2 linked regions of the Caenorhabditis elegans genome follow. The protein of the gene in region 2 purifies or fractionates together with the protein of the main gene of each other region. This does not show direct contact. Each region holds a gene or a part of one and is shown on either strand. Other genes may lie near its edges.

Region 1 (3,275 bases), on a different chromosome or scaffold from region 2:
TATGATTGGACTTGGAATTAGCTTCTCCAGAATCACTGATAATAAGCATCATTGGAGCGATGTTCTTGTCGGAATTTTCATTGGAATATTCTTGGCTGTTTACACTGTAATATTATTATGAGTGTTTGGGAACTTTCGCATTTTTTCTGCTTTCAGTGTACCTTCTGGACAGATTTGTTCTCAAACAATTCAACTGAATCTGAAACACAACCTCTTCTGCTTCCTCGACCACCCCGTACTCCCAGAAACTCTGAAGGTTGGTCCATCGTAAATTTTAACTCAATTACATATTTTTTTCCAGATGAGGAGCGACATCGATTGGATGCAGTTTTACCTTCTACGGATAGTTCTATTGTTTTTGAAGCTACTGGACCGCAGGACTCGGATACAATTTTGTTGCCGGTTCCGCAAAGTGCATAATGCAATTTTCTTGTTTTTATTCGAATTTTTTGTTTTAAATATAAATAATTTTTGCCCTTATGTTGTTGCTCTTAATGCTTGAATTGAAGAAATTTATAGAGATCAGAACGTAACAACAAAATAAAGTACAGTTGTTCTCACGGGCTGCGAAACTTGGGAAATTTGTGTTGACTCGGAAAGCCGTAATAAATTATTTCAAAAGATTTAAACAAAAGTCAGCAACTTTAACGGGAACAAAATGTGAATTAAACTTGAGGAACGTGATACAAAAGTATAGGACGTTCGATACTCAAATTTGCTATGACCCGATGATAGCTTAACGACGTGGACCGCCTCCGCGTGGTCCTCCGCGTCCGCGACCACGACCTCCTCTTCCTCCGCGCATTCCACCACGACCACGTCCACGTGAAGCTGAAATAAAAATATTAATAATCTGTCGAAAAGACGCTTAAAGCTACCTCCGGCGCGAGCGGCACGGGCCTTCTTTCTTGGTTCATCGTCGATTAAAAGGGTGTCAAGAGCGAGTGGATCCGGCAAAATGATGTATCTGATGTTGTTACCTGAAAATCTTAAATTATATTTATTCAAATATGATTTTTAATAACCTCTGATTGAAAGCGTGTCGAGTTTGACTGGCTCCTTGTTCTTAACTGTCATTGAGACGGCACGAAGATGTGTGTTCATCGCAACATCGACTCCCATGATAGTGCCTAAATAAAATCGATTTAGTTGTTTAGTTACGTTTTTGCAGTAATTAAAATTATACAATATTATTCGGATTTATGACTTTGAAAATGTATCCTAATATAAAAACACTATAACAAATGTCGAGCAATTCGTGAAAGATTGATTTTGGTTGGTTAATAACTCAACTTCTCGATTAAAACACTTTCAAGCAGACAATTAATCTTAAAAAATACTCACCGGACACCTGAGTACCGTTCTTCAATTCAATATTGACGGTCTCGTGAGACAACTTCATCAGGAATCTGACCAACTTCATTTTTCTACCTGAAATACATACAATTATAGAAGAATAAAAGGAAACGATGGAATTCAATAGAAAATACGACGATAAAAATAACTTTTAACTGATAAGAAAGAGGTTATGACAAATAAAAACATCTGCATCAAGGAAAAATGTTTCAAAACAGATTTCCAGTGACTGGAATCCAGTCATTTTGAGCACATTCGAAAATGCAAAAGACTTGGCGGCATGCCAAGTGGTCTCGCAACGACTAGGAGTACGGTCGCACTCGTTTTCATGTGTGCGCTTTTGATAGAATTTCTTTTTCTTGACTTAGGACTTTCTCTTCTTAAAATTGAGATTGATTTCTCGAATTCATGTGTTTTTTTTACTGGGCTTAATGAACGGCGTTTAATAAATTAATTTTTGAATATAAAGTGATTTTCCAGAAATGCCGCGCCTCTATCTAGGAAAAATTCCATACAATGCACGCGAACGCGACGTTGAGCGATTCTTAAAAGGATATGGCAAAATTAATAACATCTCAATGAAGTATGGATTTGCCTTTGTCGATTTTGAAGATTCTCGTGATGCTGAAGACGCATGCCATGATTTGGATGGAAAAACCATGGAAGGAAGGTAATAAAATAATAAACCAAAATTAAAAATGTTCTAACTTTTTATTTTCAGCTCTATGCGCCTTGTCGTGGAAATGGCTCGCGGAAAACCACGCGGCAATGACCGTCATGGATCGAGATCACCACGACGACGTTCCCGCTCTCCTAGACGTCGTTCACGTACTCCACCAAGAAGACGTTCCCGCTCTCGTGATCGCAAACGTTCTCGCAGATCCCGTTCCAGAAGCTCCTCCAGATCCAGATCACCAGTTCGTGAAAGTCGTCGCAGAAGCGAATCCCGTTCGCCGAGCCCGAAAAGAGACTTGTAAGTTAACTTTAATGTGTGGATTGTTTTGGAAGGGTGCCACATCACGAACCGTTTTAGCCACAGTTCAATGAGAAATCAATATCACCTACAAGCCCACATCGCAATGGCATACACATAGCTGAGACAGTTCGAGCACAGTATGGGTCAACTATCAATACATTTCAATTCACTTCTCGTTCAGTCCCCACAGTTACCAAAAGCCGCTGTTTCGATTAAAAGAGTGAGATCCCTAACTTTGAATCAGACAACTTCGCGCAAACATATCGGTTTCGTATTCGAGTCCTTTAGATTCCGACTCTATTAAATGCAAGAATTATATTTTAGGAAGCGTGAAGCGTCGAGATCTCGTTCACCACTGCCAGCAAAAGATCGAAGCAGAACCCGAAGTGGATCTCCCCCAAAGGTAATTCATTTATGTGCTTGTATAGTAAAAATCATATGGTTTCAGAACGGCGGAGATAGAAAGCGCAGCGTGAGCCGTGGAAGAAGTCACAGCCGAGATGGCAGCAATCGCAGTGTGTCTCGCTCTCCGTCTCCAGGATCTCCAAAGGATTAAAATTGTGTTTTTATACCGTTTACTGTTGTTCATTTACCACTTCTATTTTATAATATTTGTTCATCCTCAGAGCTGTTCTGATTTTAATAATTCCCGAATAAAACCGAGCGGAGACTTCCTTCATTTTTTAAAAATATTTAAAGGCACATGGTATTATTCACACAGGTCTCACCACGATTACTTCAACTACTGTACAATATTGGGGAATTTGAAGGTCGAACGCAATTTTGGGCTAATTTACTGCTTTGTTATTTTTACTGTTCTGGAAATTGCCGTTGTACTTTTTATAGTCATTATTATTAGAAAAAACCTTTTACGAGATTTTCGAGCTAATTTTTATACTCATATATTGAAATAGAACGCAAATTTTCGAGTTTTCTAAACAAA
Region 2 (3,477 bases):
AAGCTTTCGTGCAGCATTCAAATTTGGTCTCATCATGTATTTCAAAAGTGCCATTGATCCGGGATAAATCAAATGTCTTCCAAATGCGTGAATCGCCCAACTCGCCAGACCGCGAGTAACAACGCCGGCTTCAGCGACTTCTGGTTTTAAATGCCATAAATCCGAATTGGGGCGAGCTACAAAATCGGGAATCACGTCTAGAAGTTCAAAGTCGTACTTCTTTAGTGCTGCATGACTGTTGTCATCCTTCTGAAACGTAATTAATACATAAACATAAAGATTTCAACTGATACCTTGTTTTTTTCGTTTTCCCAAATATCTAAAAATCTCGAGTTTGTTTCGTCAAAGAGCCGACCGAATGTTCTTGCTCCATAACCGATTAGTGTTAAATATCCGGCATATTTCAGAATTGTCAGCATTCCAGCTGGTGTGAGCCAGTCTCGACTGTACAAGTAACATAATATTACGGGGCCAAAAGCTAATGAACTGGCAATGTAGTAAATTCCTAAAAACAAGTTTGGAAAAGGTTATGCTTCATAAAATAATATAACCTGCAGAAAACGATATGACGGTGTTTCCGAGATTTTCCAGTGTTGGTTCCTGTCGATTGGGTTGTCCAAAAATTCCATAAAGCCGTGGTCCCGAAATTTGCGTCCAGAAGGACGGCATTTCGACTAGTTGCTACTGAAATATGTAAATAGGGAAAACACAATTAACAAAAGACAATATAAAATGTAATGGACATATATACCATTTTTCAGAATTTTGATACAAAAAAAAACATCAATTGAGAAAAACAATTATATTAAATCAAACATGTACAAATAAGTTATTCCGTAATAAAAACTTCAAGTAGAAACTTCAGTTTTTTCATCATCCGTTTCTTCCTTCTCAACTTTATCTTTGTCTTCGACTTCTGTGTTTTGTTTTCCTTCAGATTCGTTATCAGATCCTGATCCTGAGTCTGAATCCGAATCATCTGATGAGCTCTCGTCAGATTCATTATTCTTTTTTGTCAATTTTCTCTTCTTAGCAGCAGCTTTTTGCCTTAATCGCTTTGCTCTCTTCTTCGCGGTTTTTGATTCTTCTTCCTTTTCAAGTTTTTCTACTTTGTGACGGTAGGCATCGTCCAATTCTTCTTTTTTTGCTACCGCATCAATGTAGTCAAGTCGATTTTGTTCTTTTCGTCGGTTGTTTCTGAAATTTGGATATGAAAAGACAAATTAAAAGTATAACTTTTCTAACCTGTAAATATGAAATTCAGCACTTCCGGCAGCAGCTGAAGAACCAACGACATTTCTCACGAATTCCAAAGGTTCTTTTGGCGCTCTCAGTGTCTCCTTTTTAATTGGAATTGGAGCGGGCTTGTCCTGCAATTATAACAAATAAAATTATTATATTTTTAGCTAAATTAAACTTACAATATTTTGTTGCAATCTTGCCAGTCTCATCCGAATTAAATCGGTTGCGGAATTTGCTCGGCGCTCTTCTTCTGTGATTGGATCATCTCGTGGCATAATGAGATTTTCTAGAAATTATCAAAAAAGAAATTAGTGCAAAAAAACCGGGAAATTTTATGTTTTATCCGCGAAAAATCGAAAAGATTGGCACGCTAAACTACACGCGCTGCGTCATCTCGGAGCGTCGTACTGCAGTTTCAAAATCCAATTTTTTTGTTTTGGCTTTCTTAGAAGCTACTTCTAGATAGGAAGTTGCTTATTATCAGTTAAAATATAAAGTTTATCAAATAATTATATTTACTTTTCATTATTCTATAGTTTCAAAGTCAACTTCAATTCATCATCAGCTTACAGAATGGAAATCAATAACGGGGCTCAACCAGAAAATGCGGCTGTTTCGATTCCGTCACGGTAAGTTCTGACGACCTCTTTTTCTCCAAAATTTTTAATTTTCAGCTCACCGTCTGGGAAGTCCGAAAAACGAAAAAGTCCAAGCATTGTTTCCGGCTGCCGTACGGTTATGAATGAGAGAAGCTTTACCAATTATTGGTCCGTTGAGCGCTTCACGGTACAATTAGAGCTTCACAATCCAGCAGAATTCATGCTGGCACCGTAAGCAAATATAATATGTTTAAGATTAATCAGTTTTACATTTTTCAGTAAATTTGGAGATGGGGATTATGAGTTTGTCATGAAACTATTTCCGAATGGGAAAGACGAAGAAACCGCCGGATATCTTTCACTTTTTCTGCTCATAAATAGTACGTAGAGAACTTTAAGTGTTTCATTTTTCGTTATTAAATGTTATTTACGAAGATTCTTTCCAGAATGCCCTAATCCTCGTCTCCGTTTCCGTGTCAGCTTTACAGTCGAAACAGCAGACGGTCCAAGAAGTTGCCATCTCAATAAGAATCTTGTTACGATCAATCGTAGTGGTATCGTGACTGCAAGCAAGTTCTTTTCATTAGACATTCTCAGGGTAAGTCGGATTGTTTTTTTTTCAACTTCAATTTTTTATTTTAATGCAGAGTGCCATGAATGTCTACATTCCTAACGATATTCTGACAATTGGATGTGAGCTCACAATTTTCGGTGAATGTACGACACAGATCTCAAGCCTGTTCAAGCCATATCAAAGAACTCACAGCGCTTCTTCAACATCTCGATCCCTATCGTCTCCCAATACAAAATGTTTGAAGATCGACGAATCGTCTGCGCATGGTTAGTGATTTTAACAGCTTGGAAATTTTCATTGTTTAATCACTTTCAGATGCATTCACAGAGTTTCTATCCACCGGAGAATTTAGCGACTTCATTATAGTCGCTTCGTGTGGTCGTGAATTCCCAACTCATATGTGCATCCTGGCAGCACGTTCTGAATACTTCAAAGTTCTCCTGAGAAATCATTCAACCAAGGAGTTTATGTCCAAGCGTCTCCAGTTTGATGACATTTCTGCTCGCACTCTTGACGTCTTGCTTCGCCATATGTACGCGTCCGCTGCTGGTCGAGTTGTGAAGCTCGAAGAGGATCAACTAACCGAGGACCTTATATCTGCAATGGATAGGTTGGATATTTTTACATTAAAACATTCTAGTATTGTTTTTTATCAGACTAATGATAAATTCATTGCGTGATGAAGTGGCTCGGCTCATCGGTTCAAAAGTGACTGTCGATAATGTGCTCACTCGTATTAGTATGGCTGCAGAGCTAAGACTTGATGATACCTATGACGTGCTTCTGGATTTCTTCTCGAATCATAAACATGAGTGCATGAAGTTAACTGTAAGTTAATGAGAGAATGAAATTACGTCGAACAAGCAACCAATTTCAGGCATGGGACGAACTTGAATCTGCAAAACCACCATTGGCCATCAAAATACTTCGAGATGCTTTCTCAAATACTGATTCACCTTCGACCACATCAATGGACAGCCGAATCATTGACCGCATCACTCTAACTTAATTGAATCTTTGTAAATCTCATGTCAAATTGATTATGTGTTTGCTCTTCAATCA

The links.
Region 1: the proteins of F37A4.2 (region 2) and snr-3 fractionate together in Caenorhabditis elegans (co-fractionation; one large-scale study listed by BioGRID). This does not show direct contact.

Annotation. Positions count from the first base shown.
Region 1 is NC_003280.10:6,488,331-6,491,605, forward strand, and holds snr-3 (putative small nuclear ribonucleoprotein Sm D1), read right to left. Parts: upstream 1,432-3,275; 5' UTR 1,424-1,431; coding exon 1,345-1,423; intron 1,131-1,344; coding exon 1,026-1,130; intron 981-1,025; coding exon 879-980; intron 832-878; coding exon 737-831; 3' UTR 501-736; downstream 1-500. Other genes in the region: plpp-1.2 (Phosphatidic acid phosphatase type 2/haloperoxidase domain-containing protein), read left to right, coding at 1-106, 157-256, 302-420; rsp-5 (putative splicing factor, arginine/serine-rich 5), read left to right, coding at 1,839-2,026, 2,078-2,329, 2,657-2,735, 2,781-2,888. UniProt on the Caenorhabditis elegans protein: Plays a role in pre-mRNA splicing as a core component of the spliceosomal U1, U2, U4 and U5 small nuclear ribonucleoproteins (snRNPs), the building blocks of the spliceosome.
Region 2 is NC_003281.10:6,720,596-6,724,072, reverse strand, and holds F37A4.2 (PRKRIP1 family protein), read right to left. Parts: upstream 1,620-3,477; 5' UTR 1,518-1,619; coding exon 1,422-1,517; intron 1,371-1,421; coding exon 1,246-1,370; intron 1,198-1,245; coding exon 849-1,197; 3' UTR 790-848; downstream 1-789. Other genes in the region: F37A4.1 (alpha/beta hydrolase), read right to left, coding at 1-249, 294-505, 552-669; bath-41 (BTB and MATH domain-containing protein 41), read left to right, coding at 1,816-1,871, 1,917-2,072, 2,121-2,221, 2,288-2,439, 2,489-2,681, 2,731-3,025, 3,072-3,243, 3,293-3,424.